Arabidopsis thaliana: one gene and its partner. The protein of the gene in region 2 interacts with the protein of the main gene of each other region in a biochemical or structural test. Each region holds a gene or a part of one and is shown on either strand. Other genes may lie near its edges. The genes, in order: AT1G14390 and AT5G10020.

What was found.
Region 1: the proteins of AT5G10020 (region 2) and AT1G14390 form a complex in vitro, tested with the Arabidopsis thaliana proteins (one large-scale study listed by BioGRID).

What each region holds. Positions count from the first base shown.
Region 1 is NC_003070.9:4,922,005-4,927,526, forward strand, and holds AT1G14390 (Leucine-rich repeat protein kinase family protein), read left to right. Parts: upstream 1-2,032; 5' UTR 2,033-2,272; coding exon 2,273-3,518; intron 3,519-3,594; coding exon 3,595-3,716; intron 3,717-3,795; coding exon 3,796-4,042; intron 4,043-4,122; coding exon 4,123-4,316; intron 4,317-4,412; coding exon 4,413-4,790; 3' UTR 4,791-4,910; downstream 4,911-5,522. Other genes in the region: UBC1 (ubiquitin carrier protein 1), read right to left, coding at 5,290-5,418, 5,514-5,522.
Region 2 is NC_003076.8:3,131,217-3,137,862, forward strand, and holds AT5G10020 (Leucine-rich receptor-like protein kinase family protein), read left to right. Parts: upstream 1-2,027; 5' UTR 2,028-2,297; coding exon 2,298-3,228; intron 3,229-3,416; coding exon 3,417-5,054; intron 5,055-5,155; coding exon 5,156-5,733; 3' UTR 5,734-6,026; downstream 6,027-6,646. Other genes in the region: AT5G10010 (myosin-H heavy protein), read left to right, coding at 1-34, 189-236; TGA4 (TGACG motif-binding factor 4), read right to left, coding at 6,432-6,584.

The DNA of each region.
Region 1 (5,522 bases), on a different chromosome or scaffold from region 2:
ATAAACGAATGTGAAAGAAACATGATTAAATTATCACTATAATAAAGTTTAGATTTGATTCTGTTCGAAGTTGAATCCTGGTTTTAAGAAATGAATATCTTAAAATGTTTGAATTTTTTTTGTGGATAACTTTACATTAGCAAATTTTATGTCACAACTAAACTACAGTGTAAACTTTATGATATTTTTTTTTTTCTGAATTTATTCAACTATATGCTATATAATTTGGGTAATTTATTTTGAACATGCCTAATTTATATGGACCTAAAGATGCATATTTTGGGCCTTAAATTAGTTGGATACATATATGGGTTTAAATTCTAACCTTTAATAAGCCTATAAGCCCAAAAAATAACAGTTTGTAAGTTATCTGACAAAGGATTTTAATAATAAAGCTGCATATAAAATTGAAAAGAAATGCATGTTGTATAATATTAATTGATACTTTGGCAGTGTCGCTTATTACAAAGGCAGTTGCATGTGATGTGCTTGCAAACTCGCATTTTATCTTCCCTTACCTTTTTGTTTTTAGAAAATAGTATATTTTTTCATCATGATTACTTGGAAACTTGGAAGCTGTGACAAAATATTGGTTTTGAGTGCTTCTGATAAAACCTTGTATTTTGAACTTGAAAACTTTTGTTTTCAGCCATTTTTTTAACTTACTACGATGACGGTCACTTGTTTTGGGATGAAACTTTTTACTACTTGGTGTTGGTGATGCATGGTTTCTATAATTCCTCTTATACAACAAAACTTTTTTGGTTTTTGTCAAAAATTGTATATAACCAACCTTCTTTTTATTAGGATCGCACGTCAGGCCACTTAAAAAGAAGTAAAGAACAATGAGAGATCGATGTAAAAAGAATAAAGGAACAAAAGAGAAAGTAATGGACAGTTCATCACAATTCACACACCAAAAAGAAAACAGCTGAACATTTGTTAGAATCTCAACACTTTCCAAACACACGAAAACAAAATGACACTCATTTCTCACCGACAATAGTGATGAAAATATATCATGGCCGAACTAATTGGTAGTATTATTAGTTTGAGATTGGTATTTTTTGTAACAGTTTGATATTGAATTGTTGATTGATGACCACGAGAAAAAAGAAGTACGATTTATATCATTTGTTGGTTTACTGTATATAGATGATCATTTGGTGTCCTTCTGGTTTCGAGAAAAACAACAAGTGGTTAAAAGTGTAGTTCGAGAAAAAGATTTGGTTAGGACATGTAATTCTTTATTTGAGCTTTTAATCCAACGAACGGGGTTAGATTTTCCTTGCGACGGTGGCTTTGGATGATCCTTAACGGCACGATCTGATCATTACATATTTACATTGACGAAAGAGCACGTGTAAAAAAACTCGTTCACTGGTCTGGTTGACTTTTATTACATACTGTCTGGTCGCTATATATCTATCAAATCTCTATGCATTAACAATTAATGCAACGTTGCTCATTAATTAAGTATGTATTTTTTGTTATTTTACAAGTAGTATTGATATTACAGGAGTTAAAATGTTATAAAAGAAACTACAAACATTTATTCGTAAGTTTATTCATTTATATTTTTTAAAAAATTGGTAAAGATGAAAGAATTTACCTTGGGGAAGAGATCAACGGATTTCGAGAGAAGTACTACTACACAACATTTATTCGTCAAACATGTATGTATTTGTATGTTTATGCATGTATTATGTATCAAATAAATGCATGTTATATGAGTAATAAAGAAAGGTCTTCTGACCATAACAGAGAAATTAATTAAGAACCAGTTGAAGTAAATAAATAACTCTAAATTGTGGAAATTTTAGATCAAAAGTAGATAAATAGTCAGATATTTCATGTGGATTTTACGTATTTTAAGGATCTAATTCATTTTATGCTTTTAAAAAATTTCATTCACTTTCTTCGAAGCAGTAAAACAGTCTGTCAATGTGAAACTTATGAACAATCAACATAAGAAACAAAAATTAAACAAAATTTGTATTTATTGTCTTCTTCTCAGCAGAACTTCTCTCCACTTAATTTTGTTTCTTGCTCTGTCCCAAAAACATTGTTTCATTTTTTTATCTCCCAATTTCCCTAGAAAATCTGCTTCCGATCTAAAAAAATCTCTAGAATTTATGTACAAAACACCATTTTTTTAGACTACTAAACAAATACTAACACTAATCTCGGCTACAATAACAGAAAGACCTTCTGTTCCTTAAGCCACAATAACATCTTTCTTTCTAATTTCTCTGTAATTCTTCCTGAGAGAATGCATAGTTCCTCTAAAAGCCAGGCCTTTTCTCTCACTTTTCTTCTCTTTCTTTTTCTTCTGCCATCAGTCTCAGAATCACAGCTAATATCAAGTGAATCAAGAACTCTATTAGAAATCCAAAAGCATTTACAATATCCACCAACTCTTCGATCATGGAGCAACTGGACCAATTTCTGCTACCTCCCTTCTTCTCCTTCTTTCAAAATCCTCTGTTTCAATGGTCATGTAACTGAATTAACCGTCACGGGGAACAGAACCGTTAAGCTCCCCGGAAGATTCTCAAGCGACTCACTATTCACTGTTCTTACAAAACTCTCAAACTTAAAGACATTGTCTCTGGTCTCTCTTGGCATCTCTGGTCCTCTCCCTTCACAGATCATCAGGTTATCTTCATCTCTTCAATCTCTGAATCTCAGTTCTAATTTCATCTCTGGGAATATTCCTAAAGAGATCTCGTCGTTGAAGAATCTGAGAAGTCTTGTTCTAGCGAACAATTTGTTTAACGGAAGTGTTCCTGATCTCAGAGGATTGTCGAATCTTCAAGAGCTGAATTTAGGCGGTAATAAACTCGGTCCTGAAGTTGTTCCTTCACTTGCAAGTAACTTGATTACTATTTCATTGAAGAACAACTCTTTTGGATCAAAGATTCCAGAACAGATCAAGAAGCTGAATAAGCTTCAGAGCTTAGATCTTTCCTCCAACAAGTTCACTGGCTCAATCCCAAGATTCCTGCTTTCGCTTCCTTCGCTTCAGAATCTAAGTTTAGCACAAAACTTGCTGAGTGGATCACTTCCAAATTCATCGTTGTGCAACTCCAAGCTTAGAATTTTAGATGTTTCTCGGAATCTTCTGACTGGGAAGCTTCCATCTTGCTTCTCTTCCAAGAAACAGACAGTACTGCTCTTCACATTCAATTGCTTGTCTATAAATGGTTCTCCTTCTGCAAAGTATCAGCGTCCAGTTACCTTCTGTGAAAACGAAGCAAAGCAAGCAGTAGCTGCTGTGAAGTCTGACACTAAAGATAAAGAAAGGAAAGAAGAAGATACAGGAATCGAACTTGGATTGGTGATTGGCATTATCATCGGTGTGATCCTCGTTTCAGCGGTTTTAGCTGGCTTGGTTTTGGTTAGGATGAGAAAATCAAGATCAAAAGAAGAGCCTTTGGAAGCAAACAACGTCGATCAGGTCACTGTTTGCAGCAACACCACCAGGTCCACCACATCAAAGACAGTACCAGATCTAAGTAGGCTATTACTTTGAAATCTTGAATCAAGTTTTCACACCCATTAACCTAACTAGCTTGATTTTTTCAAATGCAGGACGTGTACCGCAAACCATGAGATCCGCGGTGATTGGACTATCACCATACCGAGTTTTCTCTTTGGAGGAACTGGAAGAAGCAACCAACAATTTTGATGCAGAGAATCTCTGTGGAGAACAGGTAAAGGAAAATGTAAATAAGACATGATTTAAAATTGATCCGAGTGTCTAACTAATCGATATATCTAATTTCAAAACAGCTGTACAAAGGTTGTCTTAGAGAAGGCATAGCAGTGACAGTGAGGTGTATTAAGCTGAAACAGAAGAATTCAACACAGAATTTAGCTCAACAAATGGAAGTTTTATCAAAGCTAAGGCATATGCATTTGGTCAGTGTTCTTGGACACTGCATTGGTACTTATCAAGATCATCATCCTTATGCCGGAAGCACTATTTTCATTGTCCAAGAATATATCTCTAACGGGTCTTTGAGGGATTACCTCACCGGTAATACTTGAAAAAGATTATCGATTTCAAGAACTTATATTTTTGTTGGGAAACTAATTATTTGGAAATGTTTTTGGCAGATTGGAGAAAGAAAGAGGTGTTGAAATGGCCTCAGAGAATGTCGATAGCGATTGGAGTTGCTCGAGGAATACAGTTCTTGCACACAGGAGTGGCACCAGGAATATTTGGGAACAATTTGGAAATAGAGAATGTTTTACTTGATGAAACACTCACTGTAAAACTCAGTGGTTATAGTATTCCTTTACCATCCAAGGTATATAAACAAACCAGATATAATATAATCAGGATATAGCTTCTAATCTTCAGTTTAACCTCTCATGAAATATATAACCTTCTGGGGGAATTTCAGGTTGGAGCGGAGAGCCCTAGTAATGAAGATGGAGAGAAAGAAGATGTGTACCAGTTTGGAGTGATACTAATTCAGATCATCACAGGCAAAGTAATAGCAGCTGCATCTTCAGAGTTGGGGAGCTTGAAGCTTCAGCTGGAGAACAGTTTGAGAGACGAACCATCGGTGTTGCGTAGCTTGGCAGATCCGTGTGTGAGAGGAACATATGCATACGAGTCATTGAGAACCACAGTAGAGTTTGCCATTAACTGTCTTTGTGAAGATCAGAGGAAGCGGCCATCGATAGAGGATGTTGTATGGAATCTGCAGTACACAATTCAAGTGCAACAAGGATGGACAAGCAGTGAGAACCTCGGGCTTGGTGGTTCAGAACTATAGAAGAGAAATATAAAATCACCATCCTTGAAGAACATAGAGAAACTGATCAATGTCAAATTCAAGGCCTATATGAGAATACATAAAGTTGAACCTACTAATACTTAAGGTACTTACGAGTCTCATGTGAAGCTTCAGATTTTGGTGTAGAAATTGGATTAGCGTCACAAAGAAAGCAATGCAATTGTTAAGGCAATGAAAGGGTGTAACAGAAGGATAAGGCCACAAACCCTTAAATAAAATATCGCAACTTTGTGGAATTTGGGTACAAAGTTGTTTTTTGTAGCTAGCAAGTAAATCGTAATACATATATACACAAAAGTGAATAATTCAGATGGTTTGGTACAAAGTTGTTTTTTTAAGGATGTTGGGTTACATCAAAGCATGGAATCACTTAAATAGTTTTGGAAACACAAGACATGAATGAAAAGAGAAGAAAGCTGTTGCTGAATCGTGATTGAGAGAAAGTAGAGAGAGCTACAACGCTTACAACAAACTACTACTAGTCAGCAGTCCAGCTTTGCTCAACAACATCACGCACTCTCCTGTTGTACTCGCGCTTGCTTTCGCTGTACATCCGAGCAGCTTCCGAGTTTGCAGGAGAATTCGGATTAGGGTCACAGAGCAAGGACTGCAATAACAAAGGGAAAAACGGATTAGAGAAGAAGAAAGCAATTCAAGCTTTTAAGGGCATCAAGAGATGTTCATATGGCATTTTGAATTCACCTGGATGGA
Region 2 (6,646 bases):
TTCACCAGATACACCAGACGTCTCTGGTGTCCAGGTAAAACAAAAAGCTCAAAAATCCACCTTTAATTTGTTTAAATCTGTTTCAGTCTAACAAATAGGATACTGATAAAAAAAGGGTTTTGATTATAGTTTGTTACAAAGCTCTGAGTATGTGAATGATCTGGTTTTCGCTTCTTCTGTTTTTGCAGTCCCCATTCATTAACCGATACTATGGAAAGGCTCATGAAGTCCTTTGAGATCAGATGATCAGATGTTTGAGAAGCCAGAAAGCTTTTCTTGGAAGCTTCAGCAGAAATCAAAGTTATTTTTAATCACAGGTGCTCTCAGAAACTCTTTGAGCTTTTATAGTTATTAAGCCAAGTTTGTAGGACAAAATGTCTTTTACTTTTATGAGTTTGTATTCTCCTCGGGAGTACTTGAGATCTTAGAAGAGTCACGGGAACCCAATTCTTTTTGCGGAAAATCGAGACAGCTTTTTATCTCTCTATGCTTTAAGTTTTTCTTAAATTGCAATGGCATTTCTCACATTACTTTAGACTCTAGACGATTATGCTAATTATAAGAAAAGTAAGAGTATTTTAGTGGGGGTTTTCCAACTAGTTGTCAAAGTTTCGACAATAACAAAATGGTATTATTTAGTTGGACCCAATAATATATTATATGAAAGAGAGATGGACAGACATAGACAAAATATAATAAGTTTGGCATCTTTCATTTTATGGTTAGAGAAAATGACATTCTAAAAGGAGCAAATAAATAGACTACTCAAGAGTTATAATGTTTATATATATATTTGTATTATCATTAAAATTCGCGACAAGGAGATATATATTCCAAGTGGGAATGTATAAATCAATCAGTCAAACAGTGCCATAAATCTTCAAAAAGCTTATTAACCTTAGGGTAGTCAAGTTATTTATTTATTTTTGCATGAAATGTCAATAATTTATGTTTTGTCAACTAATTATTTAAATTAAAATAGCAAATTATGGTCATATTTAGCTAATTTACACAGAATAATGTATGTGATTAGGGGAAAAAAAATAGACAGGTTGGTCCGGAAGAGTAGTAGTAATTGAGTATGACAGACCACGTTCTTCTCTTATTTAGTATCTCCGTTCCCGTTTAAGGAGTAGTACAGTGTACGGACAAAGAACTTAACGGCGTTACTTACAATATCCCCGTCACGTTGTGTTGCATGTGAGAAAAAGGGTTTGGGTGCGAATTTTCTTCATCTTCAGAAAAGAGAAAAAAAAAGAAAAGACACAGCGACTCAAAGACATGCCATTGTCCTTTCCAGTCTGTTTTTTTACTTATCTGCAAAGTGCAAACTAATCATATATTATTCCACCACTTCTCTTCCTCTCTTTTCACCTTTTAAAAAAATAATATTTATTGTTATATCCTTTTAAACAAATATTTTGGGTTGGTACTTGTACTCATATCCTGGTTTTGAATCTACCGGTTTTGGTATCATTAACTACGTCAAGTTAATTATGTTTCCTAAACTAGTATATGTAATAACAAAGATGATAAATGCTGATAAGTGATAATGACTTGACGCAATTAGTGTAACAAAATGTAATGACACATCTAACAACTCTTTTTCATTTAAAGTAGTCTTTTTTTCACGGTATGATTGATTTTAAGTAAAACCTTTGAACAATAGTCACTGGTCTTCTAAGATGGTTTCCCCAAAACACCTTTTTGAGTCCATTTTATGTGGTTTGGTTACTTATTTGAATGTCAGAGAATATTCAAAAGAGATCACACTATGGTCTATGTAAAAACATAAGTTTTTTTAACATGAGAGAAAAAAAAACTGGTAGTCAGGTTACCAAAAAAGAAAAAAGAACTAGAGAGAGTAATCACTAATCAGTAATTATAGATTCCATTAACAAAAAATTGATTCCATTAACTAGAGTAAAAGTAGGTAAAGAGAAAACTCATAATTCCTAAAATGATAAAAGTTTTTAAAATATCTGAACTTTAAATTGGAAACTAGTATTAATCTCTGATTGCATAGAAAAAAATGTCATACCATAAAGAAGTATAAGAAAACTAATATAAAAATTCGATTTTTTTTTGGAAAACCTCAAAAACACACTCTTCTCTCTCTCTTCTTCTTCTTCCCCTCTTTCAATTTTTTTCAGATTCCGAGTACAATCCCTAAATCTCCGTCTCTCTGTTTCTCTCTTCTCTCAAGTCTCAGCTATGAATCCTTACTAGGGTTTATTCTTTCTGTGTTTCTCACTCTGCATTTGCTTCTGTGGAGTAGATAGATTCTTCAGGGCTAAATGAGTCATTTTCTCACTTTCTGCTTCCTCTCACTCCTTCTCCTCCTCCACGGTGCCAACGCCGTCACCGAGACGGAGCTCCGATCTCTACTCGAGTTCCGTAAAGGGATCCGTGACGAGACCTCACACCAACGAATCTCATGGTCAGATACAAGCAGCCTCACTGATCCATCTACTTGCCCTAATGACTGGCCTGGTATCTCTTGCGACCCTGAAACCGGTTCAATCATCGCCATTAATCTCGACCGTCGTGGTCTCTCCGGCGAACTCAAATTCAGCACTCTCTCTGGTCTTACTCGTCTTCGTAACCTCTCTTTATCCGGAAACAGCTTCTCGGGTCGGGTCGTTCCTTCATTGGGTGGAATCTCGTCGCTTCAACACTTAGATCTGTCGGATAACGGTTTCTACGGACCTATACCGGGTCGGATCTCGGAGCTTTGGAGTTTGAATCATCTCAATTTGTCTTCCAACAAGTTCGAAGGTGGGTTTCCTAGTGGCTTTCGGAATCTTCAGCAGCTAAGATCTTTGGATTTGCATAAGAACGAGATTTGGGGAGATGTTGGTGAGATTTTCACTGAGCTTAAGAATGTTGAGTTCGTTGATTTGAGCTGTAACCGTTTCAACGGTGGCTTATCTTTACCAATGGAGAACATTTCCAGCATTTCCAACACTCTCCGTCACTTGAATTTGAGCCACAATGCGTTAAATGGCAAGTTTTTCAGTGAGGAGTCCATTGGTTCGTTCAAGAATCTCGAGATTGTTGACTTAGAGAATAACCAGATCAATGGTGAGTTACCGCATTTTGGATCACAGCCGAGTTTGAGAATATTGAAGCTTGCTCGTAACGAGTTGTTCGGTTTAGTACCTCAAGAGTTGTTGCAGAGTTCGATTCCTTTGCTAGAGCTAGATCTAAGTCGAAACGGTTTTACAGGTTAATTCAAATCTTACAACTTTTCTCTTCTTGCTACTTTTAGGGTATACAGGAATAGAATTATTGAACTTTATGTCATTGAGCATTGATTTGACTGGTTTCATGGTCTTGACTAGACACTTGTGTCACATTGTCTGAAGCTGTTGTATAAATGTATATTAAAGGAGTTTCTTTTGGTTCAAATGCAGGATCAATTAGTGAAATCAATTCATCAACGTTAACTATGTTGAATCTTTCTTCTAACGGCCTGTCTGGGGATCTTCCGTCGAGTTTTAAAAGTTGCTCAGTGATAGATTTGAGTGGGAATACTTTCTCTGGCGACGTGTCTGTTGTTCAAAAGTGGGAAGCTACTCCAGATGTTCTTGATCTTAGCTCAAACAACTTGTCGGGAAGCTTGCCGAACTTTACTTCTGCATTTTCAAGATTAAGTGTGTTGAGCATTAGGAATAATTCTGTCTCTGGTAGCTTGCCTTCTCTGTGGGGTGATTCTCAATTCTCTGTGATTGATCTCAGTTCAAATAAGTTCAGTGGCTTCATTCCAGTGAGTTTCTTCACTTTTGCAAGCTTGAGAAGTTTGAATCTTTCTAGGAATAACTTGGAGGGGCCAATTCCTTTTCGAGGTTCACGTGCAAGCGAACTTTTGGTTCTAAATTCTTATCCGCAGATGGAGTTACTTGACCTTTCAACCAATTCTTTGACGGGTATGCTGCCTGGGGATATAGGTACAATGGAAAAAATTAAAGTGCTGAATCTTGCCAATAATAAGCTGTCCGGGGAACTTCCAAGCGACCTCAACAAGCTTAGTGGCCTTTTGTTCCTTGACTTGTCAAACAATACTTTCAAGGGTCAAATTCCCAATAAGCTTCCTTCCCAAATGGTGGGATTCAATGTGTCGTATAACGACCTATCAGGCATAATTCCGGAAGACCTTAGAAGCTACCCGCCTTCTTCATTTTATCCTGGTAACTCCAAGCTAAGTCTCCCAGGACGGATTCCAGCGGATTCTTCTGGTGATCTGTCTTTACCTGGGAAAAAACATCATTCGAAGCTTAGCATAAGAATAGCGATTATTGTTGCTTCAGTTGGAGCTGCTATTATGATTCTTTTTGTCTTGTTTGCCTATCATCGAACACAGCTCAAGGACTTTCACGGGAGGAATAGATTTACAGACCAAGCAACGACTAGAGACACCAAGTTTGGACGCTCTTCTCGTCCCTCCTTATTCAACTTCAGCTCAAATGTTGAGCAGCAGTCATCATCTTTGAGCTTCTCAAACGATCACTTGCTCACCGCAAATTCAAGGTCGTTATCTGGGATACCCGGATGTGAAGCTGAAATATCCGAGCAGGGTGCGCCTGCTACTTCTGCTCCTACAAACCTCCTTGATGATTATCCTGCAGCATCTGGGCGCAAGTCTTCTTCAGGAGGCTCCCCACTATCCTCCTCACCCCGTTTTAGCGACCAGCCTGTGATGTTAGATGTTTACTCACCTGATAGATTGGCCGGAGAACTCTTCTTCTTAGACGTTTCACTAAAACTCACAGCAGAAGAGTTATCCCGAGCTCCTGCAGAAGTTCTAGGTAGAAGCAGCCATGGAACACTGTACAAAGCAACACTGGATAATGGACACATGTTGACGGTGAAATGGTTGAGAGTTGGCCTCGTGAGGCATAAGAAAGATTTCGCACGGGAAGCCAAAAAAATCGGCTCTTTAAAACATCCTAACATTGTTCCGTTGCGAGCATACTATTGGGGTCCCAGAGAACAAGAAAGACTTCTCCTGTCTGATTACCTGAGAGGAGAGAGCTTAGCCATGCATCTTTACGGTTAGAAGATCTTTTAATTAGTCTTTTTAGTCCTATAACTACAAGCCTTTCTGTATCTTGTTTGAAAAAAAGTTAATCACCCTGCCAAATTTTCTGTGCAGAGACTACTCCTCGGAGGTATTCTCCAATGTCCTTCAGCCAAAGACTAAAAGTTGCAGTTGAAGTGGCTCAGTGTCTTCTCTACCTTCATGATAGAGCAATGCCACACGGGAACTTGAAGCCAACTAACATAATCCTCTCAAGTCCTGACAATACCGTGCGAATAACTGATTACTGTGTTCACCGTTTGATGACTCCATCTGGTGTAGCGGAACAGATACTAAACATGAGTGCACTCGGTTACTCTGCTCCTGAACTTTCCTCGGCTTCCAAACCGATACCAACACTCAAATCCGATGTCTATGCGTTTGGTGTGATTCTCATGGAGCTTTTGACTAGACGGAGCGCAGGTGACATAATCTCAGGTCAAACAGGAGCCGTTGATCTGACCGATTGGGTGAGGTTGTGTGATCAAGAAGGAAGGAGAATGGATTGCATAGACAGAGACATAGCAGGTGGGGAAGAGTTCTCAAAGGGAATGGAGGATGCACTTGCTGTTGCAATCAGGTGCATTCTCTCTGTCAATGAAAGGCCTAACATCAGACAAGTTCTTGATCATCTTACTTCAATTTCTGCCTGAGATTTGTTTGTTTTTTTATCTCTTCTAAATTTTTCTGTAAATCTCCATGGATTTCCTTTCACACATCATCCCATTTTTTCTTCTTCTTTTCTGGTTTTATGTTTCTCTCTAGTAGTTTGATCAGATGATTCAGAATGATCCTCAGGTGTTCTTACATTTATTTTTTGTTGATTATTTTTCCCCTTCCTTGTAAAGGTAGAAGAAAATCTAATCCCATTGATTCTGACAGAAACATTTGTGTTTGCTTATTGATTCTTTTTTTTATAAATTGTTTTTTTTATCTCTTTTCGACTATATATGATTCACATTGATTTTTGTAATTTTCACTAATGTCTTTTTATTTATTCCCCTTCCCCCATTCTATTATTACATATTTTGTTAAATAATTTTACCATGGTTATAAATCAAGTTCGTAATGTCACATTAAAATCATATATACCACAAGCTTATCTATAATATTACATACAAAAAAAAAAGAACAACCATCGAAAAGTTGGTTTCTAAAAAGCTATAAACTTTACGTTGCTGATCATATGTACAACTTTCCTCAAACATTTCCTTTAGCCGCAAGACAAGATTCATCATCACACAGCAGCTTGTGTTATTGCTCTTGTTCTTGACCCAAAAATCCACTCACCAGCAAACTCCATTCTTGATTGTTAAGGTCTCAAACCTTTCTTGACATCTAAACACCTTAATTACGTTGGTTCACGTTGCCTAGCCGCCCAACTCGAACTCAAAGCTCGAAGCCTTTGGAAATACTCCCCTAATGCTAACAAACCTCTAGCCGCTTGTCGCGTGGTTAAGATCCGATGCATCTGTTGCAATGTCTCATGTCTCAGATGATCAGCCTACAACAACAAAACAGTTTAAGAACAACAACAAACTCAAGAAACTAGTTGTTATCCTTCGT